Bombyx mori: one gene and its partner. The protein of the gene in region 2 interacts with the protein of the main gene of each other region in a biochemical or structural test. Links are inferred from orthologs where the notes say so. Each region holds a gene or a part of one and is shown on either strand. Other genes may lie near its edges. The genes, in order: anaphase-promoting complex subunit 4 and cell division cycle protein 27 homolog.

Region 1 (17,269 bases), on a different chromosome or scaffold from region 2:
AAGTTGTTAATTGAATGTGATACGAATATAGCACGAGAAGTATGGGGAAATCCCCTACATGCTCAAGAAGCAGGATCTTCAGGGTTGTCATTTTTTACATTTTATTTTATTTTCTTTATCCAAATTCCCAATACGACCAAAAAGTGCCAGAAGCTAAAATAAGAGTATGTGGCGTTTAAGAACGCACCTTTTTATGATGCGTAAGCCGGAACGCACGAGAGGTGGGAAAAAGAATATAGTCTGTGCCACGGGACCTTTTTACCGCCAAATATTTAAAACGTAAAAATAATTTATAATGTGTTAAATAACTAATATAATATAATTACTTAGAATTGTTTATGCCGCTACAACAATAAAATTTAAACATTTATTTAAATTTAACATTTACGCAAAATGCGTGTTTGGTGCTCCTGAGGTTACTTTTCTCGGAAACAGAATATCCGCCGACGGAACACAACCACCATCAGAGCGCATTCAAGCTCTAAAAGATTTTCTTCTACCACAGACCGTACAAGGACTCCGTCGTTTCATTGGGATGGTTAATTATTATCGCCGATTTCTGCGCAATGCGGCGAAGTTACAAGCACCGCTAGTCAACGCGATCGTGGCCGCTGGAGGTAAAGGTCTCACACCGATCATTTGGACACCTGAGCTCGAGGAATGCTTTAATGCCTGTAAAGATAATAATAATAATAATAACTCTTTATTTATATAACACCTTAATATGTACACAGTAAAGTAATAAAACAAAAGTCGGTATATAAATCGGCGGCCTTATCGCTGAAAGCGATCTCTTCCAGGCAACCTTGCAGGGAGAGGAATAAGTTAACTGGACGGTGCTATATCTTAATAAACTTACATAAAAATATATACTTAAATACACATGTGAAAAATAAATACCATATAAGATACACAAATCTAGCAGGTTATCCATCACCGATATATGTTCACATATGTATTTTTGAGCATATTCATAATTTTTAGTTACATTGTCCAAATCAGTTTTCAACGAATTTATTTGTGAAGTTAACTTTTCTATTTCTAACTCATGATTGTGATGAACATGTTGTAATTCTTCAAGTGAAGTATCTAGTTTTGTACGCAGTGCATTTCGGTCTTTGCATATAGTTTTTATATAATTAATAGATTTTCTAGTTTTTAAAAGTTGCTCCGTTTTATTTATAAACTTATTTAACTTAGAATATCTCTTATACTTTTTCTTACTAAGAACTAATCGAGAGGAATGTGTGTTAAGATTTTATGTGGAAGAATAAGCAGACTCTTTTTAATATCACAAATTATATTTTATTCACACGACACAATCTTATTAAGTAGAGAATGTATCCATGGTAACGAGTCAACATGACTAGTGCGGCGATACGCAGCTAGTGCTATATCTCAACACTCCTCCTAAATGATAACATGGCTTACAGTTATTATTTAATACACAACTATATCTAACTTAACTAAACAAACAGTAAACTAACTAATTAAGAATTAGCACAAAAACTTCTTAATGCATTTATAAAACTTGTCTGTGCTCAAACTTTTAGTCATAACATCCGCTAAATTTTCATTGGTACAAATATGTTCAATGCTGATCACCTTATTGACAACCAAGTCTTTTATATAATGAAACCGTATGTCAATGTGTTTTGTACGCTTAGAGTTCTCGTAATTCTTGGCCATTGATATCGCACTTTTGTTGTCAACAAATAGCACGGCATTTACATCACAACCTAGGTGCTTACATATGCCTTTTAAATTAACAAATTCCTGTGCTAATGATGCGGCGGCTACATACTCGCTTTCAGCAGACGATAAAGTTACGCATTGTTGCTTCTTTGAAAACCAAGCAATGGGGTTTTGCCCTTGTAGGATAATACCACCGCTAACACTTTTTCTGTCGCTTCTATCTCCAGCCCAATCGGCATCAGAAAATCCGTATAAATTATTGTCATTTGTCTTTTTAAATAATAATCCTTTTTCTTTTGTTTCTTTCAAATAACGTACTACTCTTTTTCCAGCTTTCCATAATTCTTCGTTCGGTTTATCTAAAAATCTGCTCAGATATGACACTGCAAATGTTAAATCCGGTCTTGTTGTTACAGTAAGATAAATTAGACTTCCTATTAGTTCTCGATACGGTACGTCCAAAACTTCTGTATTGTCATTTATTTCTATATTGTAATTTCTTTCCATGGGAGTTTTAATTCCGTTACATTCATCCATTTTGAATTTAGTCAATATCTTTTCAATCATTTTAGTTTGTTTCAGTTCTAATGTATCTTTATTTCTTTTAACTTCCATTCCGAGAAAGTTTTTTCATTTCGCCCATATATTTTGCGTTAAACTCCTCCTTAAGTGCTTTAATAATATCTTCCCCGTTTCCAATGATTAGGATATCGTCCACGTAAATGAGCATCCAGCAATCTTCTTTGTAATACAAACAGTAATCATATTCTGATCTTTGGAATCCCTTAGCTTTCGCAAATTCGTCAATTGTTTCATTCCAACATTTTGGTGATTCAATCAATCCATACAATGCTCTCTTTAGTTTTAATGCTGTATTATTATTATTTTTTATTTCTAATCCTTGGGGTATTTTGATAAATACATCAGACTTCAATTTTCCATTTAGGAATGCAGTGGGAATGTCTAGTTGAATAATCTTTAAATCATCTTGTACAGCTTTTGATAAGATCATTCTTATGGTTGAATGTCTAGCAACGGGTGCATAAACGCTGTCAAAAATATCTTTTTTCTTTTGTTGGAAGCCTCTAGCTACCAGTCTTGCCTTTTTTGTTCCATCTTCTTTTTGTTTAAATATCCATTTTGTATCTATGAGCTTTCTTCCATCGGTTATTTCTTGTTCTTCCCACGTTTGTACTCTTTGGAGTGCATCTAGCTCTTTATTGATTGCGTTTTTCCATTCTGGTTCTTTTATAGCTTCTTCGAAAGTTTCTGGTGCATTTGCACTCAGACATATAACAATATTAGTTTCATTTATGTTTTCTATATTCGTCTCGTAATCTTTAAGATAAGCAGGAGGATTTATCGTTCTTTTGGGTCTGATTATTGCTTCTTCAATCTGATCAGTGTTCATTTCTGCATCTTTAAATTCATCTTCCTGTTCTACAATATCTTGATTTTCTTTATTGATTTCTTCTTCTTTGTCTTGAATATATCTAACTTGTTTCACTTCTTCGTTATTTTTGAATTTAATATCGCTTTCATCAAATCTTACATCTCTGGAAATAACTATTTTATCTTCTTCTGGATCCCATAATCTGTAACCAACAGTTCCATAACCTACCATTCTTGTTTCTTTTGCTCTCTTGGCAAACTTGTCCGGTTTGGGTACTATAGTAGCCCAAGCTTTGGAACCAAATACTCTCAATCTCGATAGGTCGTTTTTACCAAAAAATATTCCGCTGGGTGTCTTGAAGTTTATGGCCCATGATGGCGATCTGTTTAATTGGTAAACTGCACATTGTATCGCTTCGCACCACAGATGTTTTGGCAAATTGGTTTCCGCTAATAGAGTCCTCGTTTTGTCGCATAATGTGCGGTTCATCCGTTCTGATATGCCATTAAGTTGTGGCGTGTACGGTAATGTGTATTCTAAACTAATACCTCTATTTATGCAAAAAAGTTTCAAACTATTAGCAGTGTACTCTCCACCATTATCGCATCTAATTCTTTTAACTTTATTCCCCGTTTCGTTTTCAATTCTTAATACATAGTTCATCAGTCGTTCTGTTGCTTCAGATTTGCTCTTCAGGGGATACACTACGCAAAAATGAGAGAAATCGTCAATAATTGTCATAAAATATTTTTCACCATTAGGTCCTTGATGTCTGATCGGTCCTGCTATGTCTGTGTGAAGCATCTCGGCTGTCATTTTCGTTCTAGGCTTTGGGATAGACGTGAATGGGCTTCGGGTGGCTTTGCCCTCCATACAGGGACTGCAAATTCTATCAGATACAGGTAATTTTAGTATATTAAGGCTTTTCCTATTTAAATGACCTAAACGTTTGTGCCATAGATCTGCCGCATCAGTAACATTACAAACTTCGGACTTACATAATTCGGCTTGTAGCTTATACAATTTTCCTTGCACGGTGCCGCATAAAAATGTATTTTTATTAAATATTTTAACATTGTATTTATTAAAGTTTATGTTAAAACCTGCCTCGACAATCTTTTTCACTGATAACAAATTGTATGAAACATCTTTCACAATTAGAGCATCAATATTAATCGTAGTATTTTGATATTTTACTTTAAGTTTACCTCTTTTACTAGTTGTAATACATTGGCCGTTAGCTACGAATATTTTGACATGTTTATCTAAGTACGTAATATCCGTCATATAATTTTCATATTTTTCATTTATTAAATGCTCCGTACATCCTGAGTCTATAATTAGTTCTATGTTACCACATTCACCCACATTAGCAATAATATTGCTAGCAATGAAACCTATTTCTTTGTCGTCTCTGCCTGCTGCTGAAGTATGTTGATACGTTGTATGTCGTGAACTTGAATTTCCTCTAAATGAGCGTCCACGCGATCTTGGATAGCTCCATCCTCGTGTCAATGACTGTCCTCTACTCGGCCCTTGTCCTCGTCCTGATCTTCGGCATTCGAATGATTTGTGTCCACGTTTTCCGCAGGAGTGGCACGTGATGAAGGCATTATTCTCATAGCTTTCACTATTTCTGTCCATTTTTAACTTTGTCTCCATATCGAGTAGTCTTGCTTTAACAAATTCTAGGTTCAGCTGTTTCTCGGAAGCCATAGTCTCAATTGATGTAATTACTTGATCGTTTAACTTTGGTAGAGAAGACAGCAGATAGCAAATTTGGTCTTCTACATCGACGTTTACGTTGATTGCCGCTAATTCGCTAAGAATTCCTTCAAATTTTAGGAAATATTGCTGTAAGTTGCTTTCATTGTCATAGCGCATTGTTATGAGCTTGCGTTTTAAATAAAATTTGTTACAGACTGTTTTTCGTTCAAATATGGCCTCCAATGACGTTAACATTTCTTTGGTCGTATTCGCATTTTTTACGATGTTAATATATTTGTCGCTCAGACATTGTACCAAAATTGATTTTGCTCGTGAGTCATCTTTATCCGTCGGTTTCTCTTTTAAGAATACATTGCTTAATTGCTTTTCTTCCAGCAGTAATTTCAATCTAAATTTCCAATGACTAAAATTTGAATTTTCAGTCAAAATCGGCAGAAGAGACCCCGCAGTTGTCATCTTTCTTTTTTTTTTATAATTTTTGCCGATATTATTTTTCGTGGATCGCAACCCAATATATTTTTATTTACTTACTGCACGCGATCTGCTACCATGTTAAGATTTTATGTGGAAGAATAAGCAGACTCTTTTTAATATCACAAATTATATTTTATTCACACGACACAATCTTATTAAGTAGAGAATGTATCCATGGTAACGAGTCAACATGACTAGTGCGGCGATACGCAGCTAGTGCTATATCTCAACAATGTGTACTATCGGAGTCACCACCAGTCAAATCTATTGTAGGTATGTCACACTGAGAAGTGGTGATCACTGTTCCAAAAAAACAAAAAAAAAAGCCCGCTGAGTTTGTTTCGCCGGTTCTTCTCAGGACTGTGGCTTTTTTTTGGAACCGGTGGTAGAGTTAACATTGTTATTTGTATTTTGACATTCAACAAGTGTGTCATACTGACATCTAAGTTGAAATAAATGATTTTGAATTTTGAATTTGAATTTGATAAACTTACATACGATTAAATACAAATAAATACTAAAAATATACAAGATAAAATACAAAAGAAGTAGAAACTTATACAGTTATATCATAGAAGCAAAGTAGTGCGATTTCAATCTGGACTTGAAAATTTCTGAAAGATAGCTTGTCATCTGCAGCTCTGTTGGCACACCCGTTGCCTAACGCTGAACTAGGGCTTTTCACCGACACTTCCAGTTCTCACGTTGGTGCCTGCCTTCAGCAGAAAGTCGGTGATGCTTGGCAACCTCTGGGTTTCTTTAGTAAAAAGCTGAATCCCCGACAGTGCCAGTGGCCAGCATACTACCAAGAACTTCTTGCAGTATATGAAAGTGTGCAACATTATCGACACTTCCTAGCCGCACAGCACGTAACGATTTATACGGACCATAAATCATTAGATTACGCGTTCTCGCAACGTCGCGAAAGGCTTCCTCCGGTACAGTTAAATCAACTGTTTTTTATTTCGCAGTTTACCACGGATATTGTCCATATAAAAGGGGTGGACAATACGGTGGCGGACACCATGTCCCGCATCGAAGCTGTTAGTTTTGAAACTGACCATTCTGCTCTCTCCGCTTGCCAAAAACTTGACGACGAATTGAAAAAGTATCGTAACGATGCGAATTCTTCTCTAAAACTAGAGAACGTCTTAGTTCCTGGCACAAACACTGTTTTGGTCTGCGACATGTCAACAGGGCGACCACGCCCATTTGTATCGGAACCTATGCGAAAGAAGATTTTTGCTCAGCTACATAATCTTAGCCAACCTGGTACTAGATCAACCATTCGATTGATCTCAGACCGTTTCGTGTGGCCTGGCATTGCCAAAGATTGCCGTTATTGGTGACAAACCTGCGTTGCTTGCCAGCGAAGTAAGGTGACGCGGCATATAAAATCTCCACTTGGACACTTCTCCAGTCCTACGTCTCGGCTGAAGCATGTCCATATTGACATCATTGGCCCTCTTCCATCTTGTTCTGGCTTCCAATACTGCCTGACTGCTGTGGATCGCTACACTCGATGGCCCGAAGTTTGGCCTATGCACGGAATAACAGCAGAAGAAGTAGCGAGCACCTTTGTAGCCGGCTGGATTGCTCGATTCGGAGTTCCTGCTGTCATCACAACCGACCAGGGACGACAGTTCGAGTCGGACCTTTTCAGACGCCTTACTAATTTATGTGGTACTAAACGTATACGCACTACTAGTTACCACCCTTGTGCTAATGGGCTCGTGGAGCGCATGCATAGACAATTAAAGGCCTCTCTGATGTGTTATGATGATTCGTGGTTGAATGCATTACCTGTGGTCTTATTAGGAATGCGTTCTGCTTTTAAAGAAGATCTACAAGCATCAGTAGTGGAATTGCTTTACGGAGAAACGTTAACGCTTCCAGGGGAACTGTTAGTACCTCCCGGTCCCTCTGGCTTCGAGGACCCGACGGATTTTGTCGTAAAGTTAAGACAGCGTATGTCTAAATTGCGTCCCACTCCGTGTTCCTCACACACTAAACCATCACCTTTCATATTTAAAAATCTTTCCACCGCCTCTCATGTCATGCTCAGGGAGGATTCGGTTAGACGTTCAATGCAACCTTACTCTGGTCCTCATAGAGTTATATCTAGAGCCGAGGACGGAAAACGTGGTCGATTGAAGTAAAAGGGAAACAGGTGACGGTCAGTGTCGACAGAATTAAGCCAGCTTTCGTCGAACATTCTTTAGTAGATGTCGTTCCGGCACCAGCACCACGGGTTTCTGTGCTTCAACCAGCGCAACCGGATGCTACTGATGTCCCTTCATGTCCACTCGTGCCGTCGGCACCTCTAACTGCTACTCCTACGCATACACCTCAATATACCACCCGGTCGCAGAGTCCACTTCTCCAAACCTTTCGACCTCTTTAGTTACCAGGTCATAAAATCCCTTAAAAAATTGGCGGGAACGCGAGGAGTGAACTTGTGTAATTTGTTTTATTTTGTCTATTTAGTGTTTCTTCGGGTTTAAATGTGTGATAATGGTGGTTTATTAACTGTTTAATATCTGTGAAAGTGCACAAATGTGGAAAAATGAAACAAAGCCGCTGGACGTAACTTCTCGGGATCCTCCAAAAAGTCCACTGAAAAAATCTTAGTAAATGACCACCATTTTACTGAGATTATATTTCATCCCATTTCATTTCATTTAATTTCATCCCAGTTGATTAATGTCTCAAATTAGTCGTCTTCATTTCATTTCACTCCATAATATCATTTTTCATAAAAATATGAATATAAATTAAAATAAGACATGAATTAAAGGTCTCAGTTACCAGGTCATAAAATCCCTTAAAAAATATGACATACGCTAAGTCCGGCAAAAAATAATTCAAATAATGTCAACCAAATTTTCTTACACTGGAAAGTGAAAACAACCTAATGTTAACACATGTATACATAGATTATACACTTAATATATTAGAGACATGTATACAAATAATTAACATTCTCGGAATGTTCCCAAATATGTTGTATACTCAGAAATCTCTTCAAAAAATTTGCCACGACGATTACTAGTAACATCAATCAGTTAATTATGACCAGTCTTTAAACTCTAATATAACATATGATATCAATCATAATACTGCCGATGCCGAACCCTCAATTGTCAACATTGTTGCTCAGAGTAGTACATGTGATTTAACTACAAGTAAAATGCATTGTGGTATGAGGCAAGTTGGAGAGAGGCATGTGCCCTATCAAGTTGATCTTATGGTCTGGAGTAACCGTCTGGATTTGCTAGCATTAAGTAATAATAAAGGTATGACAGATCTCAATTCATCATCTAATTTTAAAAAAATATTCTTACAAAACTATGTACACATCGATTGTATGATTCAGACTGAATGCATTATATCTTCTATTTTATCGCGTTAATGTAATTTTTCTTGTACATAAAGCAAGTTTTTTAATTACTAAATCTACTTAGCCCTTGGTAGAGTCTTCAGAATACAATAAATTCAGTCCAGTCTAACAGATGTGCTTTTGTTTGCTGTTGATTCAATTTGCAGTCAGCTCTAGGGCAGGATAATGGTCTGTTCAGAGTTTACGGGACTGCCATCTTAGAAGTTTCTAGGATCTCCATCATCATTAGTTGTGTTAGTTTACGATGACAAGACTTAAACTTGAGTTTGCATTAGGGTCTGGTTTTTTTGCTGATTTAGATAGATTAAGAATGTAAGTCAAACAACTAACTGTAAACTTTCCTAAAAGACGTAAGCAGTGGTGATTAGTTAGTGTAAGACAGGCTGTAAGTTTAAGCTTTTAACTTTTATTTATTTTTATTTAAGGTGAAGTCCAAATACATAGATTGCATTGGCAAAAAGTATGGAGCTTACCACCTCCAAAAGAAAATGGCTGTGTACAAGCGATGGCTTGGAGACCTGATGGAAAGGTATTAAATAAAGCACTAAAATACCAAGTAACAGTACCTACTGAACTGTATTTAATTATAAATCTAGAATTTTGTGGTAAATGGTTTCAGGCTCTAGCTATTGGATACAATTTAGGAATTATTTATACAGTTAGTGTGGAAGACAAGGGTATAATTGATAAGTATGAATTGGAACTAGAAGTCACAGATGAACTTGATACTGCTAAGTATAGCGGCATTTCTTGTATTGTATGGGCGATACGAACTGACATCTTGCAAAGTGCCACTGAATATAATTTATATGTGAGTGATTCAAAGTTAATAATAGCTTATAAATTTAGTAGATATATGTATAAATAAGGACTAGTAATCTAAGGAACCTAAATATGTTTAACGTTTGGGGTTTCAAAGATTAGAGCAATGTCCAATTTTTTTACAGTCAGCAATATTTTGTGTTAATTCTGATCTATCAATACACCACTGATGTTCCAGGTGGCAAAATAAAGTGTATTTATTTTAGAAACCTGCATAAAATTGTGTCATCATTAGATTTATCACCACCAGCTCATTTGATCAAGTCTATACATTCTTTCAGCTCTTCTATTAGGAGTTTTTATTCATATTGCTCTAGATAAGCAGACAAACTCTCAGAGGGCCTACCTTGGGGGAAGGGGATTAGTGGGTCAGCGATTATGCAACTGAATCTTCAAGTCATGTCTCAAAGTGGGCAGTGATATTATGATATCTATGGGCTTAGGTAAATTCTAACACCCTGTCTGCCTGAATATATTTCATAAAATTGGTTTTTTTGCAATGATATATAAAAATACATAAAAATTTGCCATAGTAATTACTGCGAAACTCATAAAATGACTAGTCAATTATATTAGAAATTATAATTACAATAAAAACGTTATTAAAATTCCAAAAAAGTTTCTATCTTAAGTATCTAGCCAATAATTTTAAAGAAAATAGATATGAACTGATTTGAACCATGTACAGTATAAGTTTTGTTAGCTTCGAAAATAGATACCGTGAATATGGAATAGTAATTTACCTAACAAACGATCGCACACTGCCCCCACACAGCTGATGATTTCACACAGATGATCATTATCATTTTATTTTTATTTTTATTGCTTAGATGGGTGAACGAGCTCACAGCCCACCTGGTGTTAAGTGGTTACTGGAACCCATAGAAATCTACAACGTAAATGCGCTACCCACCTTGAGATATAAGTTCTAAGGTCAGAGTATAGTTACAACAGCTGCCCCACCCTTCAAACCGAAACGCATTACTGCTTCACTGCAGAAATAGGCGGGGTGCTGCTACCTACCCGTGCGGACTAACAAGAGGTCCTACCACCAGTAAACAGACTGTATATCCACCCTCTAGAAAGCTAATCAAGTCGTCGTGGCCTAAAGAATGTAATATTATAGGGAATATAGGGAAAACGTTCCTAGGTGACAACATAAAAGCATACTTTAGGCAAAGTTGTAATAAGGTTTATTTAACTTTTTTATAAGTCCATTTGACGACGCATTTTTAAATGAAGAAATCTTTACCCGCGAAAGTAGAAATTAGGTCTCATTTTTTAAATCCGCGAATTGCGAATTTAAGTATAGGTATAGTTAATTTTGTTGTGAACTCCCTGGGACTGTCTCTTTATTTATTTTTTTACGACTCCCTAATCAAGTAACACAAAACGTTATGAATATATTCCATTATACTGGTGGTAGGACCTCTTGTGAGTCCGCGCGGGAAGGTACCACCACCCTGCCTATTCCTGCCGTGAAGCAGTAATGCGTTTCGGTTTGAAGAGTGGGGCAGCCTTTGTAACTATACTTGAGACCTTAGAACTTGTATCTCAAGGTGGGTGGCGCATTTACGTTATAGATGTCTATGGGCTCCAGTAACCACTTATAACACCAGGTGGGCTGTGAGCTCGTCCATCTATCTAAGCAATAAAAATAAAATAAAAACTCGAAAACTATTGGATGACATTTGGAAGTTTTAAACTAACTAAAAATGGTTGGATTTAAAGTAATTATTAAAAAAAGGTTGGCATACGCCACGTAGCTTGGGGTTGAAAAGTGTGAAACAAGATTTATGGAGTTAACTTTTTATGAAAATTGTTTAATTCGTTAAAACCACAAACGTTCATCCTAACTACGGAAGTATTCTGTCGGTTGTTCGACTTACACTTATTCGAATTATTTTAGCGTTTTACAGCAATAGGTACTTTTAAGTTTCCGCGAAAGTAGGTTTTCAAGTCGTGTTTCAAATTAATTTATTTAAGTATGTCATTAATCATTATTTCAGGATGATGCCTCAATATTTTTACAAAAAGTTCCAATGTCGAGTGGATACAAAAACAGTCATGAAGACAACAAAGATTGCAAGTACATACAGAATCCCACACAACTGAACATGTTAATTGTCGGATACGGAACAGGCAACATTTACCTGAACATGTATGGCAGGTATCCGTATGGAACTATTCAACTGGCAGAAGTGGCCAAAGATGATTTTGGAGAGTACAAAGTGTTAGACGTTAATATGTCAGATGACTTCAGTGTCATGCAAGTTCTTTATGTGGATAGATTGACAAATAATGTTTTTTTGGCTATTGTTAACACTGGCGTATTATCTGCATACGCCGATGAAATAAACACGGTAGCACATAAACATGGACAAATTGTTCAGCTGATGACTCAACTTGATCAAACGATGATTTCAATTACTGAAGCATGGGAACATATATTGCTTGAAATGGATACTAAAATGGCATATTACGCTTCATCTGTGCACGAGGGAGGGGTTTCAGCTGATCTATTAGAACTACTCATGTTAGGTCTGTACTACTTCTTGCTTTTCTAAATATATTTTTTTAATAATAAATGACTAAATATTTACTAACGATCACGCCACGTTAACTGGTCCCGTGTTAAGTTCGTAAAGAGCTGGTGTTACAGGTATCAGATAACGGAAATAAATGTAAGATTTTTATTATACACATTATTATACATATTTTATTATTGGTAGGCAGCGGCTTGGCTCTGCCCCTGGCATTGCTAAAGTCCATGGGCGACGGTAACCACTCACCATCAGGTGGGCCGTATGCTCGTCTGCCTACAAGGGCAATAAAAAAAATATAATATATATTATATAATATACATCCATAACCCTAGAAAAGACATTTTATATTTATCATACAAATATTTTCCCTTGGCGGGATTCGTACCCGCGACCCCTTTGTGTAGTGACCATGTCACTTACCACTACATCAGACGGCCGTTAAATTGTGTCCATACGATATGTAGTATTCTATATTGATTATCATTGAAGACAAATGGCAGATGGTAAGAAGTTACTGTCATTCATGAACAGCAGCAATGTTAGGGCGCATTCACGCTCTGACGCTAAATACATTAAACTACGTATCGTTTTTTGTTTGTTTAACCTTTTGAGCGCGAACTGTCGATAGATTGACTCGTCATCATTCTGATGCCCTCTTCTCTGTCACCATCGGTCAGCGCAGTTTGTTTAAAGGTATTAGGTACCGATATGTACGGAAGTGTCTTAGCGCGCGCATATTTAACGTTTTCAATAAGTTAATACATTTGTAAATAATAATTTATTTTGCTGTAAATTTAGCATTGAATTTTGTATATTTTTTTAAGTAAAAGTTTTGTTGTGGCAATTTTTTTCTAAAATCTTTTACAATTTTTTGCATAATATGTGAAAATAAGCTCAGCACTCAAAGGGTTAACGTAAGCTCGCAGGCCTCTTGGTATTACTGTACATAGACTGTTGTCTGGGTCCTGAGCCCTGATCTAGACTAATAAAAAATAACCTATCACTTAATAATTGATCACACAACAGAATAGGTTACTTACTTATGTTTTAAGCATTTCAAAATAATAAAACGCGACCTTTTGTTGTGATAGGTACTCCATCAGTGGATTTACAAGTTTACCTTTTGGAAAAATTGACAACTAATGACTTGAAAAAATTTGGAAATTCTGTTGAATTAAGTTACTCGACCATACAGAAGCTGGTACTGAAACAACTCAATATTGTTGGCCAAAGTTTAGTTTATTATTTAGCCGAACTCAGAGGACTCACAAGGATAGAAGACAGATACAAGGTAATCATTAAAAAAAAAATTAAAACCAAATGATATTCTGTAAATAAATTGCTACTTATTGGTAATAAAAAAATAGACTTGGACTTCTTTACTCAATATGGGTCGCAGCGTCCACATTGGCATCTATGGCAGTAATCGATAAATACTAGGTAAGGTATCTAACCCATTTGAAATACTATATTCAATCCAAGATTTAGTATAAATACAACAACAATACTATCGCATATGTACTACACACCTGTACAGAATTCTTAGGGGTTTGATTCTTTTTTGAGTCACGAAGAAACCGCTAGACTTCCGCTTAAAATTAGAGGCCCGTGGCAGAATTAAACCGTCTAATAGCGCTCGTTGGTTGAGACACAATGGAAATATATGGAACGCTTAGGGTGCTAAAATTCGGACTTCCTTCCTATTCGAGTACCCCTGCTGGCTGAACGATGACGATTTGGTCCGCTAGCACTCATGGCGCGCTGCTTGCTTCTGTCAACACATTCGGCAATTCGGCAAAGAAGAGGACGGCTTTTTTTGTGTGGGTCATTGCGCGAATGTGTGAGTGACCTCATAGACACAGCCCACTGAGTTTCTCGCCAGATTTTCTCAGTGAGTCGCATTTCCGATCAGGTTGTTGATTCTGCGAAGCACTGCTCTTTGCTAGGGCCAGTGTTAGCATCAGTCCCGATTTGAGCCCCGTGAGCTCACCTACATGTCAAGCTGAAATAGCCTCTCAAGGCTTTCAGCATAGGTAGGAGTAAAAAAGTGAGTGTATGAAGCCGCAGTGATGGCAGTCCACCGTGGACTTAGCCACAACCCGGTGTTATTTCTGAAGCAATGACAAAGCAGGGCGCTGGTTCTAACACTTATCCGCTTTATCTATTGAATATCATATCACATTGTATAATATAATCACGATAGATTAGATGCAAATATTTTAAAATAATATAAACCATTTTGCAGATTCTAGGTTTAGAAGAAAGCAGTGTTACAGAAGCGATAAAAGCATGTTGTGCATTTTTAAACAAATGTCTGGAATTACAACAGGTTATTGATGTATCGATGCGGAACTATAAAGCTTTCTTCAGGTGGCTTTTTGTAGTAATCGTTAGACAACTGGATGAACAAACACCAAGTGAAATTGTGAAAATAAATCAACAGGAATTGAGCCACATAGCGGAGTTTCTCTACAATTTTGACAATGTAAAAGTAGACAGTTCAGACAAACCACCTGATAAATTGATCAAATTTAATTTAGAAAGATTAGGGCAATATTTGCAAAATCAAGAACTGACAATTTTGCCAGAAGATGAAGACAACACATGGCATAAATTTCTTCAAGACAATGCTTGCTTCCTTAAAGACAATGATACATTTTTCTCCATGAAAGACTTCAAAAAATATTCATTAGTTCAACAGCAAGCACATCTTATAGAGACAGTCACTAAAGTTTTTGATGTCGTTCATAAAGATACAGGAAAATATTTTTCTGTATTATGTAATATTAGATGCCACGAAGATCAACTGAATAAAAACCTGCACAATAGTTTGAGAGTTTCACAAGTCTTTGATGACACAAATAAACGATTGATGTCGGCCTTTTTGGATATATCAAATGGAAAAGAAGGAATTTATTTTTTGGCTGTCAATATAAAGGAGAGATCTTGTAATATTGCAGTTATGAAATGCTACTTTTCTTCTTATTTAGTTCAAAATGGCACTGATGATCAACAAAACGAACCTACAAATTTATTAGATTTACAATTCTATTCCCCAGAATATTTGTCAGTTATTACAACACATCCTGAAAATGAGGAAAATACAATATTTATTCAGGTACCAGTAAAACATCTCCTAGAAAATTCTACTGAACTCAATATTAACACAAAATCTTGTATTTTTACTGACAGAAGTGTAAAGAAGGATATTGCGCCTTTATTAGAACAGAATGTTTATAAAGTGCTTGAGAAAATGGACGGTTCAAGATTAGCAGTTTCTGGAGGTCGTAAAGTTGCTGTTATCCTTTCAAAAAGTTCTCGAAAAGTTAGAGTATTTGAAATGGAAGTTGATGGTGATGATGATGAAGACGATACTCTCGATACAACACCACAATCTATTGGAAAATTTCAAAACACACCTGATAAAAGTAATACTACCAATGAAGACAATATTTTTTAATATTTATTTAAGAAATTAAATATTCTACTCATCCTTATTATCTAGTATCATTTCTTTATCTACACTAGTACTTATTGAAAATTAATAATATGTAATTGGCAATAGATTATACACATTTGTTTAAAAGCATATTATTTTGGAACTATGTATTTGGAAAAATAAATTATTACAGTATTAAAATCTAAGTCTATGACACATCTTGACTTATGTACTGTTTTTAACTAAATCAAACTACGATGTGGTGATTTAATTTGAATATTTTCAAATACTGAATTGAAATCTGTATCTAATCCTTGGTTATCTATTCCATAGAGAAGTTCAGATGATTGATTTCTGCTTGGTCCCGCAACAGGTTCATGGATGCTAGTGGTAGTTTGATTATATATTTCATCACCATCTATTTCCTCATCTGGTTCATCAACTACAAACAAAATTTAAATCCATAATTTGGTCAGTCATCATACTTATGTGGTAAAATATAAAAAATGATAAGGGCTTTCCAAGTTAGTATAGTAACATTAAAAATACAGTAAAACCTCATAAAGGGAAATACAATTTTTTGCTACACTTTACATTAATACTTAATTCAGAAAAGCAAAGAATACATAATTTATTTTAAATTGATTCAATTACTTTCATAATTTTAGTGATGAATTAGTCTAGTTTTGCTTGTATATAACAAGTAGCTTTTGCCCGCAACTTCGTCCGCGTTGAATAGTTACTTTGGCAGAACGCATAATTTTACCCACCTCTTCATTTACGTAGAAAGTGAAAATGTTTTTGAATAATAAAATGTTAAGGAGCTATTTCCTTAAATAGTAATTAGGTTAAAAACCGTGATTTTGGTACCTTTACCAAAATCACGCCTTTTAGCCAACTCCAAAAGAAGAAAGTTATCAACTCGACCATAATTTTTTATCTATGTTCACCGATTTCTCAAGAATGCTAGAACCGATTTTGATAATTCTTTTTTATTTTTATCGAAAGGGTAGACTTCCCGAATGGTCCTGTTTACATCAAGATCTGATGATGGGATCTTAGAGAAATCCAGAAAAATCTATAGGTAATTGCAAAGCCTATCTTGAAGTGATTTGGGTGTTTCAATGTTGTAATGAATAACGTATACAATACGACCGATGTATCTTGGCGAGTCCGAACTTCGCGCAGAAGGCTGCGCACAAACGTTTTTAGGAACCAAATGGTGGCATGACCGACGTGCGCGGGGCGGAGGTCTAGGCTAGGATTTACTCTGTGTAAACACAATCGTCCCTTTATTCAATCAAATATCGCAATCGATTTTTATCGATTTAGAATTTATTGATATTTGTTTTTATGAGATACTGAACGAAATAGATTTACAAACTTATTGAATGTTGTCGTTAGTAGACGAGACTTCATCTTTAATAATAAAAAAAAACTAATAACACTTTATTTTCTTGGTTGAAAGACACGATTTAGTTGAATATCAGTTATTTATAAACAACTACTACAATAGGAACTGTTTGTTAATATTTTAAACCTTCTATAAAATGGAATATAAATATATTTTTTTATTTAAATTTTAATCAATTTGAAAAAAAAAATCGATTAAACAACATCCTCAAACCCGCATATTGGACATCCCTTTTCTTGACATCGTATAAATTCGGTAATGCTCGGTACGCGGTAATGTGTCTCACTCACACGCTAGTATTAGTGTCGTGTTCGTGTCGCTATCTCTGTCTTGAGTACGGGCGGCTACAAAAGTTTTC
Region 2 (17,264 bases):
CGTTTATTCTCAAAACATTTTTGTCGGGCACATTACACTTTTTTCACAAATCAGTAATCAGAAGGTATTTACAAGGCATATACTATGCCTATAATAGAAGGTTTTGCTCAACAGAAATCCCGAAAGAAACCGTTATCGAAATCGTAACCAAAAAACCAGCAGCATTCTAATATCATTAATGACATATTATATCATACTGCATTTGATTACCTATAATAAATGGTCATACTCAGTAAAAAAACGTTATTATAATTCGGGTTTTTTACTTTCCAAAAGGGTCTCAAATTCTTGTGTGCCCAAGGGCCCCATCCTAGTTTAAGACGTCCCTGCCTGTAAGTTGCTAAAGTGTTGCTTAAACCAAATGGGTTTTTACCCGTCGAAATAAAGCCTATTTTTGTCTTGTCTTTGTCTGCCCTTAGTACTTATAAAACACAACAGATTTTGATACAGTGTACATTTATTAAATTACTTAAGCTTCATAATACGTAAAGCGTCATAATACCTAAACATTCAGCTATAGAACGAAACTAGATAAAATTTATATTAACGTACTTTTTACAAATGTAAAGTGTATTTTAAATGAGAAAAGGTATTTGGAATTTTCCATTGTCTATTCTATTGTCAATTTCTGCATGCTAACAGTCATGTATTTGGGTTTGATTCGTGGAACAACCATTTTATAATGTAGTCTAGACTTCGATCTCAGATCTCAAGGTACATAATTGGGGGGTCCATATACATCTTTTGATGTATATGGCCTGCAGCCGTAGCTCATTTGACAATATAATCTAGACCATTAATGACCTGAGATGCCTTGTAACCTGATTTGAATGTCTAAACTAGCACTTACAAAAAATATATTTCATAGACAATGACAATATAATTTATTTTTAGTCATTTTTAGGTAATGTAATAATTTATATTATATTTTTAAATTAATTTAATTGTACATGAATACTAAGCACAAACAGTACTTACATAATGTCACGTTTCTCCAAAATAAGTATTAAAATACTTTTGAAATATTGCCCGCTTAAAAATAAGAAAAAAAACTCAATATCAAGATTATCAGCAGCGAAGACTGCCGCGTTGGTGCTAACTTGAAATTGAATAAGTAACGCGCAGTATTAGAAGTCACGATTGCCAAATTTGCGACATAGTGGAATGCCAGACTAACAAAGTACCTATTACTTGTTTCATATGATAATAATAGATTCTGATCTATTTGATGCTAATTCCGCAAAAGTATAGTTGAGTTGAAGAAATATTTTTCTACAGCACATTAAAAATTTGATCCACATGAATTCCTAAAAGTATGCTTCTATTAATTAAACCTTATTGTCAAACGCTTGTCTCAAACGTGCTAAGGTTTCGTATTTATGAATATCTTCTAAGATACGTAATGGAAACTCCCGATCTGTAGTTTATTTGGCATAATGATTGTGTGTAAGGCACTTCACATATAATATAGTAGATATTTCTAAATGTATTCATGCAAATCACGAACTTATGTGTAAGTGATTTTTCATGGAAAGAGCACTATAGGAATAAGCCTGCTTCAATTTCTAATTTTATACCCTCTTTTTACACGCTTTATATTAGCTTCACTTGTATGTATGTTTGTAACTGACTCCTTTAGACGCGATTTTGACCCACTTTAAACGGCCAAATTTCATTCAAACTTTGTAGATTTATCGAGGACCGATAACAATACTTAGTGTATTGTATAATGTATTATAAAAAAGCGCGGGGTGCTTTTTAAGATATTATTGAAATAATAATTCTTCTACTCATATCTGTCAGAAAAATATAACTAATAATATGCACCCCACGCTTTTTTTACAATAAAATATATTTTTCACTATTTTCAATTTACATTTATTAAAACGTATTTTCTATTTTTTTTAAACTATTATTTTTTTAATAGGTTTGGTAAAAAATTTACAATTTTTTTTTTCTTCAGAGAATATGCGGAATATATTGAAAATAGACTCAAAAGATTGGGTATAGTCGTCGATTTGCTGTTTCCAATGGAAGACGTGCCGATCGGCAAAGTTCTCGGTAACATAGCTTCGAGAGGATGTCTCTACGCTATATTGGTTATGCCGATGAATTTGGAACACAGATCTTTGACCTTAACAATATTACACGGACTACCTCAAGGTAAAATAATGTCGTTCTTACAGAATTTTATTACTGCTGGTAGGACATCTTGTGAGTCCGCACGGGTAGGTACCACCACCCTGGCTATTTCTGCCGTGAAGCAGTAATGCGTTTCGGTTTGATGAGTGGGGCAGCCATTGTAACTATACTGAGACCTTAGAACTTATATCTCAAGGTGGTTGGCGCATTTACGTTGTAGATGTATATCGGCTCCAATAATCACTTAACATCAGGTGGACTGTGAGCTCGTCCAGCCATCTAAAAAAAGAACATACATATTTATTTTAATGTCGCCAACTGGTCTCATTGCAAGTATCGTATCTAAAAGAGTACAAATATCAGGTCCGCTGATGTAATTTAAAATAGAAGAGACAAATTATTATTTATATTACAGAACATAGAAATATGCCAATAGAAGACGCATTGCAGCTGTTATCGCGCAATTTCCAAGAGGTCCAGCGCGGTGGTCCTTCCGGTCGTGAAGCAGTATATGCTCTGCTCGGACAACTTGCTGACGGCCGTTCACTTACCGTATTACAATACAACAAAGTTATCGAGTATTTACAGGTAGAAGATCATTTTTATGAATAGTTTATGATAGTATCTAAAAATTTGGGCCCTTTTCTCTATATTCAATATCAATGAATAGAATTTGATCAGGGAAATATTATTTCTCATTTTTAAGTAGATATAGAAAAATCTAAACACATTAATATTAATCGTAAACATTTTAGGAACGTCGTGACCATCAAGTAAAACTAGAATTGGGAGAAACTTCGACAGCTCCTGTGACTGCTACAACAAACAAAACACAAGTTGAACTACAGCAGAGAATTATGAATATTCTCAATGACAAGAACGTACAGACACCGCCTCCGGCACCCGTTGTCGCTCCGGCTCCTGTAAACACTACCACCGCGACGACCACTGCACAGAACAAATTACTTAACGACCCTTCATTGAGGAAAGCACTGGATTCTATATTACAAAAAATCACTTAAAAATCTATATGTACTTTTTTTATTTTACAGGATATTAAATTAAGGCTGAATAAGTCGTGTTCCGAAATAAAAACATTCTACAATAATTATTATAATCAGTTTTATTTAAACTTCATACATATGAGATTGTCTCTTTTCCAGAGCAGTTCATTAGTGATTTGAAACGACAAACAGTGCTATTATTTTAGTCAATTTATTCTTTATATACATACACATAAAACTTTCATTTGATATTTATTTTATTATACGAACTAATCTGTCTCATAGTGAACAGGTACATACATCCATTTTGTTGATCATAATTTTCAGGAAATAGTTATAACTAACATCCAAAGCGGAGAAATGTCTCGAAAGTTAAAAAAACATGCATGGTTCATAATTTGCATGAACGTAATACTTTTCTAGACACTACATGATTTATTGATATTTAAATACTGCCAGTGGATCCAGCCAGGCAAACTGAAACACTAAACAGCTGTTTAAAATAGATCACTAGTTGCTTTAGTTGTTGGAACATAATTATATTGTTGATACTTTAAAAAGCTTATCATCAGAATCTTTATTACTTGCCATTTTTGTGTCATTATAATTAGGTACATAAATTATTTCTTTTTATCAAATCATTCAAATGAGATCAAGGCCTCACAAACATCTTACAAAACCATAGTTACTTCATACCCTCTCTAAAGTTAAATTACTTGGCTAGAAGTTTATAAACTAGCTCAATATTAAGAATATCCACATCTTAATCTATATAAACATATCCACATGTACGCTCTTATTACTACAGCGTCTAATGCCACCGCACCCATTGAACATTGTAAAGCTACATTTTATATTTGGAAGAATTATTTTGGTGTCAGTTAAGTCCGATGGGTGAGAGCAATATTTACAATGGATCAGTCAGTGATCTCATGCTGGCATTCTACCAACATATCTGGAATAGTATCCTTTACATTCGTCATACTTTTTTAGGTTGATCTCTCAGGTGGATCTTCCTGTTTTGATGGATCGAATCCTTCTTTTATGTGACCTCCAGTTCCTTTAGGATCTAAATCTGTAGCCCAACTAAAGTGCATTAATGCCAAATGAGCATTACCTAATTTATTGTGAACTTTTCCCAGTAAATAATAAACTAATGACTCTCTAGGGGCTATGTCCTTTAAGTGATGTAGATCTGCTAATGCATCTTGCGGTCTTCCTGCTCTTAACAATACAGAAGCTCTATGGAAACGACATAAGGGATTCTCTGTATCTAATGCTACAGCTTTTTCTAATGTGGATAAAGCTCTTTCCATTTTTCCGAGAGCAGACTGTGCCAGACCTAACTGACATCTCAACACTCCTGAAAGTGGATGTATACTGAGAGCACGGCGTATGTGAACTTCTGATGCTTTCCAACGTTCTTGTCGTGCGTAAACTGTAGCTATACCAAACCATGCAACGTAATTTCGTGGATCAATACTAACAGCTAACCTGAAGCTAGCAAGAGCTTTATCAGTTTCTTCTGCTACGGCGTATTCGTGCCCTAATAATGCATGTGCATAAGCAGCATCTGGATTTAGCTGAACTGCACGTCTGAAGAACTTTAATGCAGTTTCACGTTCCTTATGAAGAGAAAAACAGTTTCCTGCAACTAACCAAGCAATTGGATTAGTTCTGTTTAATTCTACTAATTCTTGTGCTAAGGCTGATAACTGTGCTTCACGCTGAAGATGCCATAGACAGGTACTGTAAATTTCCATCCCTTCAGTACGACTTGGATACTGTTTTCTTATTTCTGAAAATATTTTAGCAGCTGCCTCATATTGAGCCAATTCATAATGGCTACGTGCGATCATGGTTTGTACCCAAGGTGAAGCCAATTGTTTTGGAGGTAACTCTTGAAAGGATTTTATTGCATTTTTACAGTCTAAAAATGCAAGATATTTATAAGCTTCTCCTATTTCTTTCATAAGACTCAACAATGCTACTCCATTTGAATTCTTTGGAGGTATGGTTGGAGTGACAGTTTCTATACTTTTATTTGAATCTATTGTATTAGATTTAATATTTTTAGCAGTTCTCTGTTTATTTTTTCTTGAGGGACTCTTTGGTGCTGCAAATTTCCTACTAGGTGATTTATTATTTTCCTTTACTGAATAACTACTATTATTATTACTGAATAGTCTTGATGATCTACGTGGGGCAGGGCCAAGTGTACATCTTGGAGCTGGGCTAAATACTGCATCCTTAAGTTGTCCCATTTGTGCACGTAGAGAATTAACTATTTTAGGAATTGCTTTCTGTTCATTTGAATCTGTCAATGTTGGAGTATATAATACAGGAGATTCTTCCATTGTAAGCATTCCAAATGATGGTGAAAATGGAATAGGTGCCATACCACTAAAAACACTATGCATTCGCTTCATTGGGGCTTGTGTCTCAGGAGTTATACTTGTCGACATAGCCATGGGTGTACGTGTGGCAACATTATTAGGTGTTACATTTGTATTCATGCTGCTGTTATTATGAATATTACAGTTAACAAATGATATATTTTCTGAATTGCTGACTAGATTGACTAATGTTGTAACACCAAATGTGAACTCAGAGTTGTTTATTTGGAAAACTTGTTGGGGGTCAACTTTCTCACCCATATTACAGAGCTGTGCAAATGATTTCCACATAAATGGGTTAAGAGATAGTGCTTTCCGATGGGCTTCAGCGGCTTCATTCCTTCTTCCTGTGCTGATGTATACTTTGGCAAGAAGCTGTAAAGCGTATGGCGCCTGCTCTCCAAATTCAGAAGCTATTATATCAAGGTTGGAGCCCAGTGCAATTTCTGCATCTTTGTAGCTGTAATGATAAATAACTGTATATTTGTATGGGTTTACATACATTAACATAAAAGTAAAACATATGTAATGCAACTATGACTAAACTGCCATGACAAAAGATGCCTTTGTAGGGGCTGGTGTCCTATTTAAATATTTTAATCATATAAGACATCTCTTCGCGTTCAGTAAAAGAAAAATTTGTCCAAAACATATAAAACCAGAAGCAAATTTTAGGTATTGCAAATGGACTTTGTTATTTTTTTATGAAAATTGACCCACCTATTGAGATCAGTCTTATTTTGAAGAGACATATTTATGATCCAAGAGCTAAATGTCAGTTTGAATTGAATAAGGAGCTTTCACTGTATTCAAATATTTAATACATGTTGCAGGCCCTCACAGGTGTGCTACCATCCTACCTATTTTTGCTGCTAAGCAGTTAACTTTTCTATAAATAACAACTATAGCAATAAGCGATTGAGATTTCAACTATAGAATGCAGGTACTCATATTTTGTTTTCTATTGATTTTCATAGCTAATTAATATTGGCATCTGCAGATCTTGATTGATAAAAATTAAACATGTGTATCTGATCCAAGTACATTTTTTATTTCAATTACAGAAATAAAAAAAAAAAGTTTGTGTGCCTAAAACTTCTTCTACAAGTCAAGCTCGTGTCTTTTATTAAATTTAATAATTGTTTTAACTGTGTCTACAAATGGTGGACACTACAGAAAGTAACACATGGAGCATCTGCCACCAGCTTACATATTTCGTTCTAAAAATTTTAAATTATCATTACTAATTTGTAAATGCTTTAGGAAATTAGTTTTCTTTTTGTTCCCAATTTTACCTGTTATAGCCTTGGGTGGTCTCATTACAATCTGCATATTAATCATTTATAAACAAAAAGTACATGAACTATCAAAATGCCATCATAAGTTCACCCATATGTTTAATAGAATTTAAATTGTTTGAAGAGAAGCTTCACAGGGAATTTTTAACATTTATTTTTTTTAAATGAAAAGTACTTACGATTTCAAGTCAGCTGAACATTTGGCTAATAAAAACCTTGCTTGTGGTAATGCAAGGGTTTTATTTTGAAGTAAATGATGTGCTTCATTAATTCGCCCTGACCTATAATAACATGTTCCCAACAAAAACGCAGCTTCTTCTGAGCCAACTGCAAATAATCATCAAATTATTAAATAAGCAGCGAAAACAAAAAGCACACCCAGAATAAAAATCAATATTTTGCAATGGTACATTATATTTAATACAATTTATATACCTTCCGCATACAATCTTTCTGCCAAAAATATAGCGTTTTCGAATTCATAATTGTTGAGGCAATCCCAAACGATAACCTGCGAGAAAACAAATAATTTATAACGTCCCACTGGGAGATATGAAACTTCAATTTACTGGTTTTCACCATACCTGGATAGGTTCTTGCACAATCATCTTTTTACTGTAAATAAATACTTTCCAGATTGTTTTTATTTCTATTAATTACATTGCAAGCCACAAATTCAAATCACAAAATATATTGGAAATCTATTTCGACGGACATTTTTAGTTTGTTGATTGTCTATGATATTGATAAAGCTGCCAGCCCTAAGCATCTCATATGATCCTGTGGCCAGCCTCAATCTTAATATTTCCCAAATTATTTTAAAAAACCGTTTTTACAAAATCTTAAACGTGGTTCTATTAATGGACGAGTCGTAACTTATTAAAGGAAAATGCCTGTATTTATATTTTTGTTAAAAAATAATAAGGATGAAGCGAAAAAAGAAGTTATTAAAGTTCATTATTCATCAAAATTAGTTGTTTTTTGGTTAAGCCCATTCAGTTACTGCAAGTTCAGTTAGTGCAGTTATAAATTAAAAATGTCCTGTTTACGTACTCTATAGTTGACAACTCTGGACAGACATGCCTCCCGCTATTTAACTGGAGTAGGAATTCATTTTATTTAAGTTTGGCCAGTTGTTATTTAGCTATGATTCTAAATGCACAAAAAAATTTGTAGCAATATGCCAGTATACACAATCGCAGTTGGAACGAAATTTCAATCATTTCCAGAAGTAGCTTGCTTCAAGGATTTAAACTGTGGTAGCAAAGCGTCCGAGTGAAATTGTGTAATTTGTTTTATTTTGTCTATTTAGTGTTTCTTCAGACTTAAATGTGTAATAACGGTGGCTTATTAACTGTTTAATATCTGTGAAATGTGGGAAAATGAAACAAGGCCGCTTGAGGTAGCTGCTCGGGATCCTCCAAAAAACCCACTAAAAAGTCTCAGTAAATAACCACCAGATTATATATTTAAACCTATATCATTTCATCTTAGAAATATAAAAATGATAATATAGAGTGATATATCTATATTATATATATATCTATATTATCATTTTTCATAAAAATTAAAATAAGACTTGACCTAAAGGTCTTAGTTACCAGGACATAAAATCCCCTAAAAAAAAGTAAAATAATCTCTCTGTGCTGAACGTCAATGTTTCTGTGGAAGTGGATTAGTGGATTTTATTAAAATCAAAAATAATTCGCTTATTTCATAGAGTAAAATAAATAGGTACATTAATTTGTAAACGCGATGGGAAAGTCATTCAATTGAAATTATAATTTGTGTTTTAATTGTCATTCGACCATAGTCTTATCAAAACGAATAGTGTACGACGTTGATGTGTAGAAAATCGACGGAATTTGTGTGCAATATGTGTGCAGTGTTTATTACCTGTGACATTTAATAACAAAAGGAAAACAGTGTGATAACAATTTATAATCAAATTCTCAGGTAAATAAACTGCTGTTTATCAATACATTGTGTATCCTATGTTGTATGTCTAAGGCAAATAAACATGATACGTCATTAAAGCAGCCCTTCACTAGATTCGTCTACCGAACAAGAAAATGTCAAGACGTGTGACCTCCAATTTACCGAGTTCCTATTTCGACTTTTGTGCTTGGTATTCGGTTAATTCGTTCGTAACACGCTTAAGAAATTATGTTCCAATAAACATGTAGGTTGAATGATATGGTTAATTAACAACATAAATATAAATTTTTCTAAAGTCCTATTTTCACTGGAAATCAATAAGTGACGCAATGAACTACGAAAAAAATTCAATATTTCAATAAGTTAGTTTCTAGTTTTTTTATGACAACATACCTATAAATAATTTATACATTATTTTATAAAAATAATTAAAGTAGTAAGATAACCCTGAGTGAAAATGACCTAGACACCAGTTTGTAGAAGCTCTTTGTTAAAAAAAAGATATTTTGGCTGATTTATCCAAATTCTATTAGAATAACTCAAGTGTATATGTTATACACAGTTTGTGAAGATTTTTATTATTAAACAGGAAAAAGGGTTTTCATAGTTTTAATACTGACTACTATTTCCCCACGAAACTTCATACTTATTATAAATGTTTTATTTAAGTGATATAAACTAGAATGTTATTTTTTTGTTATTGGCAATACATTTATAATAGGTTCTTATTGAAATTTTAACTTACATAAATGTTTACACAGACGATAAACATACAAAAAATGAAATGGATGGAGTAATAATGATAATATTTTCTTTGGATTTTATGAGCTGTAGATATCATTAAAATCATTTTTATTGGGATTACATTGTTCATTAATATTTTCATATTTCTGAAGCTAGAATTCATTATTCATATGTACTGACTGTAAATTGATTGAAAGCTGAGCCAATTGTTTCTACTAGTAGAAATTTAAACCAGCTAAAGCAAGAACTTTGTATTAACTCCATAAGTGAAATAGTTGAAGATAGATTTTTTTTGTGTTTTTGCATCAGATTTTTTTCTTTTACACAACTTATTTAGCATTTTCAATAATGAATGTATTGTCCTGAACTGAATTGATGTTAGTATTCTCTTAGTATAGAGAAGGGAAATAAATCAATAAAATACTATTTTCAAAGTATTTGTTAGTTGTAGAGATAAATAATAGTGTTTTTGCCGTTCTTGTGCTACAAAACTATAAGTTGTCATCATCCTTCGCCACTAAAAGTATCTGAAACATAACAAAGTGAAAATAATGAAAGTGTAACTAAACTGTAAAAATAGTATTATTTAATGTAATTTTTTTTTTTTAATATCTACACTAATGGGTTCTGCACTAGGAAAATCCTGTTAAATGAACACTAAAAACATACATAAGGACAAGTTTAGGCAGACTATGAACATTGAATCACTAAATAGTAGACCAAGTCCGGTGGTAGATTCTGTAAAACACTGCTCTTACTAGGGCCATTGTTAGCCACACTCCCGGTTGAGCTCCGTGAGCTCACCTACTGGCCCGGTGAATCTAGAAGAACCCCTTGAGGTTACTAAAATAGGCAAGGAAAAAAAAGTCAACATCTGTCTTGTGCTAAACTTACTCATGCCAAGATGATTATGATGAATAAAATGAATATTGTAATATCAGATACTCCAGCAGATATCTTGTATATTTCTTAAACCTGGGTTTCATTGGTTCTATAATACTTATTATGTGTATTCAGCTATTGTTTAAATCATATTTTATGTTGATACTTCCAATCTTTTTCTAGTAATGGCTTATTTAAAGAATACTCATGAAAGGCATGTTATTGCATATATCAATTTTTGGTAATGTTTTTTGTTTAATAAAGTAAACAATAAATACATAAGTATATATATCATTAAAAATGATAAGACTTCAAAAGAACATCTAAATGTAATATGTATGTTCTCAAACTCAATGTAATAAAATTTACTTCAAATGGTCATTTAATGCGTCTGAGTTTTTTCAATTACGCAAATATTAACTGCAGAAAAAATGCAGATAGATGCTGCCTATACTTTCACTCTTTTTAAGACAGTTCAACCAATATAATCTGCTATTTAAATATAAAAGTCAATGTGCGTATGGTCATCATATACTTGGTCCACCAGATCAATTTAGCTTTTTTTTCGACCTAAGCTGATGGTCTAGAGAAACCATATCAGCGTCACCGGGCTAGTAGGTGAGCTCACGGGGCTCAAACCTGACGTTGTTGCTAACATGAACCCTAGCCAGAGTTGCGCAGAGTCGAAGAGTCGTGCTTCTACCACCGAATCGGAAACGCGACCCACCGAGAAGATCCGTCGAGAAACTCAGTGGGCTTTGTCTGTGGGTTAATTTACTCGCGGAGCCCTTCGTCGCAAGCGACGGGTTCGACGCGACCCAATTTCGCTGAAATTTTAACTAATCTCTCTATAAGACTGTTTTAATGCCGAAGTCTAAATTGAATAAGTCTAATGATACGACTCTAAAAACTGGTATAAAATTGTGCAACTTCCCCCTCGGTGAAGGATATGGGGCGACCTGACCGACCTAGAGTCGTCAGGTATCACCTGGATGACTCCGTCGGCCTGGATTCCTGGTGGAGAACTACTCGTGTCATTGTAGTGTTGATCGCAAAATCCCCCCTACCTTGCCTGGGTTCTGTCTCGGGCGTCGAGGGGGAGTGCACGGGACTTGTTTAATGGTTGGGCCTTTACCAATTCGGCCACCGAATCTCACATATCCCGCGCAACCCCTAAACTCGTAAGAGTTTCGGTTCCAGGACCGAAAAAAAGGTCTCATTAATTTTCTCCAATGTCAGTGTCATCGTAGCCTATTAGAAGGGAGCACAAACAAACAGCTATCCGACATATTAAAACTGCGATCTTTTGTGTCGTCCAAGAATCATACATTCAGTCATAATAATCAATTTCAATTGCACATGTTATTGTTTCTATTAAAGTGACTACATCAATTAAAAGTTATTGAATGGTTTTAGAACATTGTTATTGTTATACTTAAAACAAAGTAGAACAAAAACGTAATGACTCAGCAATGGTGCTTACAAAAAAAAAAAAACACGCAATATGCTAGCATCAATTTATTTCCAAATTCACTAAAAAAAATCCCAAGCTTTCTTTTCTGCTTTTTAGGGTTCCGTAGTTATGGCAATGGCAAGATCTGAACCCTCTAATTAGATCCTATTGTATCCAATACATATACATATTGATATAAAAATTGATTAATCTTCGATTAGATTTCCTTGGATGAGTCAAAGAAACGCGAAGAATTAGTCAATATATATATTTTATCGCTGAAATAATTGGACTTTCCATTTTAGACATTGGGACTACGCCTTTTTTTTACTATTCCACTATGTTCATGCGCATCAGCAGTGCCGCTTTTGGGGAAGGACATTCAATAGCGCTGCATTTCACTGGATGAAGCGGTTCATCGCATCGATGTAGGAGAAAGATAAAGCGCAATATTTGCAAACGTTTAAACCATGAGCTCTAAATATTTACTTTTCGACAACACGATTCTTATGCAATACGTTGTTCAATGACAAAATTTTGTATCGAAACCTCTGTAAAGCTAAAAATATTTATTGTTTCAGAATGAGTACCACAGATACGGTGAATATAACCGCTCAGCGGATTTCTGAAATTGTTCACGACGTGCTGAAGCCGCTGCAAGAGCCCATATTCCTGCAGACCCGCAGCGCGCAGGTCATCGCGGGAATATTCGTGTTCACGGCTCTATTCATTACTTGCCAACAGGTGTGTTGATAACAGAATATATTGTATTATAACTCTAAGTATGTGTCATTGTATATGTATGTTTGTTTTACAGATAGTTGCCGTATCTTTTTTTTTACATATAGACGTTTTATAAACAATGAAAGAGTAGACACACATGACGGTTCATAGCTAGGAATTTTAAATTACTAATCCGTAATTTCACTTGTTTCCTTTTATTAGCGTAGACGGCAAAACGAATTCACGATACATATGATGTTAATGCCGATACTTCGAAAATCAAGTCTCTGTTGCTTTGGCATCGATTATTTCACCATATAGATAAGAAATCACTATTACTCAGCGATATATTTAGTCTAGATGATGGTGTTAAACTGTGGTGCTTCACGATCCAAAATCATTAATTGAGACAGGAATTGTGTGCTGCACGCATTACCTATATGTATTAAAATTTATGTTTTTATAAATATCTTAAGACAGGTGAGACGTAAAAATATAGCCTTCGATTCAATTGAATTATTTCAACACCACACAATTGAAAATTTATTTTCGCCATGATAACATGTTTTGTTTTATGTTCGTTCACAAAAAGGTATTTCGATGACATGATGATGAAAACATAGTATTTTTTAATACGGTAAATAATCTCTACAGTTTACATCCCTATTAATATTATAAATGTGAAAGTGAGTTTTTTTTTGTTACACTTTCACGCCTTATCTACTCAACCTTTCATCATGATATTTTACATGCACGGCGTCTCGGGTGTAGAAGAGGACATGAAGAAATTTGCACCCCGAAAAAAAGTAGTAGTATTTAAGTTTTTTTTTTGTACACTTATCGGAGTGAAGTCACGCGTAAAACTAGTAGTACGATAATAATTGAACAAAACATGCTATTTTCGTCCCAAAGTATTAAATTATTAAAAGTTTGACAAGCTGTCTTGTCACAAAATGAACAAAACGTGTATAGTATACAATTTTAGATGGTCTAGTTCAACGTGATGGAATTGTATAACTAAGCGTAGAAAAATGCTTAGGTAGAAAAGAAATTGTTTAGAAACATGATTTGAATAGAATTTAGATAATACAATATTTGAACAAAAATAAAACCCGACTAAAATAAAGTGAGACATCATCAAATACAGACGAAATCAATTAAGTATGCATTTAAGATAACTCAAAAACATTTATCTTGGCAAAATTTAATCGGGATCACATAGGAAACAACAGATTTCCAATAAAAAATAGAATCATCAAAATAAATCCATCTAAAAAAAGATTCTGATATCCACATAAAAACAAGCAATGTAATTGATAACCTCTTTTTTTTAGAGGTTAAAATAACACATTCAGGAAAACTGAATTGTCGCATCGCACAATCGTATAATAAGGAATATCAAGTGATAGAAATTCGACCTTAATCACTGAGTTCTCAAGATTTAGATTCAGTCCATTTATATTTACATAATGCCTTCTGTTTTTTTTTACATTCTTTATAAGCTGAAAAAATTTAACTGTATCCAAATTTCTTTATTAATAAAATACAATAATAAACACTAAAAATCGTAGCTCGACTAACTGGTTGCTCATTTAAGAAAAAGGAATATCGATTGACATGGAAAAAATATATAAAGCATAAACAGTTTTACTATGTGGATGAGTTTCAATCTTACATTAAAGTTGGATTGCAGGTGTAAATTTTATTTTATATCGTGATTAAACAACGCCTTAATTGTACGTTTTGATAAACAATGTACAGCCCAAAGATTGTATTTTCCTTAAAAATAACAACATGTAATTATAATTGGGAAGTAAGTATTTAATTACATTATGTACACCAATTATATATGTACTCATAATACAATCTTTATATGTATACACACAAAATCCACACATAAGAAAATAGTTTAGTAAAAAACAAACAATTCGACTTACAACTTTGAGGAATGACATGTTTTTAAATACAATATAATCTATGAATAATTTTAGTGACAAGGGTGACAAGTATTAATTACGCTTTTCTAAACAAATCGTTTTCGTGATTTACGATTTCATCTGGCTGTTTATTGTAAGGCTGTTAAAATATCAAGTTAATTATTTAGCTTGTAATAAATGGGAATATCGTTATAATATCCCTTTGCTTATTTCGATCTTGGAAAAAAATCATGCGTTTCGTTTTAATGGGTAAAATAGCATTTGTTTGTGTTATAGATTTAATAGGCAAATCAAGTGACGGTTCATCTGATGGCGACAGTAACTAGCAATAGATGCTAGCATTGCCAGCTACATGCTGCCACTTTTCCGAAGCGGTAGCTCTTAACCGGTGTCCCTCTCGATTCCCCAGCTTTATAAAAAAAAATGTTTTAACCGGTGTGACTTCATCTATCAATATGGCGCTGCGACTACGACGCCATTTTATGTTATAGTACGCTCAGCTGCCTAATATAGACTGAGCTCGTCTAATAAAATAAGACCACCAACATTTAACAGTCATAAAACTAATAATTAAAACGAATTATTGCAGATTAATTTCGCAGTTTTTATTGTCATTATAATATTTTCAACATTTTGAATGCTTTACAGTTTTCGTGGTAACGAATGACCGTAATATCTAAAGTATTCGCAACACCGGAAATAATGGAATGACAGTATAAAAAAAACAACGCGAGATGAAATCGTAAAAGTACCTAGTTCTAATTACGTCTACAATTCGTGAAAACTGAAGAAAATAACAATATTATAGTAGGTACTAATTGTGTAAAATGTTGTGGAGTTATTAAATCCTTCAATAAAGAAACGTTGGAATTCCCGCCCAGGCACTTCTCACGCTTAACTGAGATACTGTTGCGCAAACTTATTGATTACTTAAAGGATTTCAATCGCGATTGTGAAGCCGCGAAGCAAATTTTCCACCATTCATATAATTAGAAGAAATAATGAAACGAAGCAATCTGTCAAGTAACGCCTGAGGCTGAGTACAAACACTAAAAGAGAAGAATATTGTACATTATACATTTATTTGGTAATCTGTTATGCGTTATTTAAGACAAATGCTAAGCTAACTGAGCTTCTCGCTGGATTTTCTCAGCAGGTCGCGATTCAAATCCGGTGGTGGATTCTGCCTATCACTGCTCTTGCTAGGGCTAGTGTTAGCAAACTCTCTCAGGTTGAGCCCGTTAGCTCACCTATCCATCCGAGCGTAGCTGGAATAGTCTTTTAGGCTACCAGAGAATAGCAAGGAAATTTCTTTTAAAGGCGAATTACCGTCAAGGCAGTAAGCAGTTGTTCAGATTTGTCCTGGACAAGCGAAAGCTAAACAAACATTTTAGTTGTTTTGTTATTGCGAAGTTCTGTGAATGAATCCACGATTGACATGGTGCGAAGTGGTATCGCAGCCCATCAACTTCGGAACTTGAATGCCTGTCCGCCATTTTGAGACACTAGGTTCAAGTCTTTATATAACGGCTGTTCGACCCTTCTAACTGCAACGCAGAAATGCTTCGCATCAGAAATCGCCTAGAAATGCCAATTAATACCTCAGAAACCTTCGTTTTTTATGATACAAGATATAAAGCTCTAGTTCCACCAATGGAATGAATTGAGGAAGGAACAGAAATAAATAAACAATCACCCGAAAAGTTCCGAATGCCAAACGTTTTCCGTTGTGTTTCATTCGATGCGGAATACCCAAAACATGTCATTAAACTCGTTAGCGCATCACGCGGTGTGTCAGGTACAATAATAATGTATACCCATCGACGGGCAAAGACCCCTTATATGTGCCTGTACAGCGTAATACCGTGTGAATATAGACACATGCTCCTGGTGTCTGATTTAACAAGATTCGTATTAGATTTATCTATCACATATGACTGACTGCTCATAGTCACTTCCACCTTGAAGTATGAGGTTGAGGTTTTTGGGCTATGGAATGACGATCAACCTATAAAATTAAAATAAGATACGAATTTGAAGTCGTCGTATCGAGTAATAAAACTTAAATTGAAGCGTAAATTTTTGAGTGTTGGTTTTGTTTTTCTTAGGTGGTTTGACGATCTCACAGCCCACCTGGTGTTAAGGGGTTACTGGAGCCCATAGACAGCTACAACGTAAATACCGCCACCCATGAGATACGAGTTCTAAGGTCTCAGTATAGTTAAAACGACTGCCACATCCTTCAAACAGAAACTCATTACTGCTTCAGGGCAGGAATAGGCGGGGTGGTGGTACCTACCCGTGCGGACTCACAAGAGGTCCTACCAACAGTAATTACGCAAATTATAATTTTGCGGGTTTGATTTTTATTACACGATGTTATTCCTTCACCGTGGATGTCAATCGTGAAGGTTTCCCAAGTACGTATTTCATTAGAAAAATTGGTAGCCGCCTGCGGGATTCGAACACCGGTGCATCGCTACATACGAATGCACCGGACGTTTTATTCTTTAGGCCACAACGACTTCAAAGCAAACTTTGTAAGACAGCGTAGTTTTTTTTTTTACTTATGCTGATAGCCTTGAGAGGCTATTTCAGCTTCACCCTAACGTGTGTAGGAGAGCTCACGGGGCTCAAACCGGAGTGTTGCTAACACTGACCCTAGCAAGCGCAGTGCTTCGCAGAATCTACCACCGAGCGTAGATAGATATCACACCATCCTGCATGTTTCTGCTGCGAAGGCTTAG

The links.
Region 1: the proteins of cell division cycle protein 27 homolog (region 2) and anaphase-promoting complex subunit 4 form a complex in vitro, tested with the Homo sapiens proteins (2 studies listed by BioGRID). The link is inferred for Bombyx mori from reciprocal best matches to the Homo sapiens genes CDC27 and ANAPC4.

The regions. Positions count from the first base shown.
Region 1 is NC_085119.1:8,384,167-8,401,435, reverse strand, and holds anaphase-promoting complex subunit 4, read left to right. Parts: upstream 1-7,706; 5' UTR 7,707-8,480; coding exon 8,481-8,586; intron 8,587-9,115; coding exon 9,116-9,219; intron 9,220-9,309; coding exon 9,310-9,501; intron 9,502-11,521; coding exon 11,522-12,053; intron 12,054-13,149; coding exon 13,150-13,349; intron 13,350-14,303; coding exon 14,304-15,518; 3' UTR 15,519-15,555; downstream 15,556-17,269. Other genes in the region: uncharacterized protein LOC119629381, read right to left, coding at 1,498-2,232; uncharacterized protein LOC101742302, read right to left, coding at 15,740-15,939. UniProt on the Homo sapiens protein: Component of the anaphase promoting complex/cyclosome (APC/C), a cell cycle-regulated E3 ubiquitin ligase that controls progression through mitosis and the G1 phase of the cell cycle.
Region 2 is NC_085117.1:10,627,817-10,645,080, forward strand, and holds cell division cycle protein 27 homolog, read right to left. Parts: upstream 7,641-17,264; 5' UTR 7,449-7,640; coding exon 7,425-7,448; intron 7,352-7,424; coding exon 7,276-7,351; intron 7,168-7,275; coding exon 7,020-7,167; intron 6,003-7,019; coding exon 4,136-6,002; 3' UTR 3,248-4,135; downstream 1-3,247. Other genes in the region: nuclear receptor coactivator 5, read left to right, coding at 1,964-2,163, 2,558-2,730, 2,898-3,164; transmembrane protein 184B, read left to right, coding at 12,440-12,601. UniProt on the Homo sapiens protein: Component of the anaphase promoting complex/cyclosome (APC/C), a cell cycle-regulated E3 ubiquitin ligase that controls progression through mitosis and the G1 phase of the cell cycle.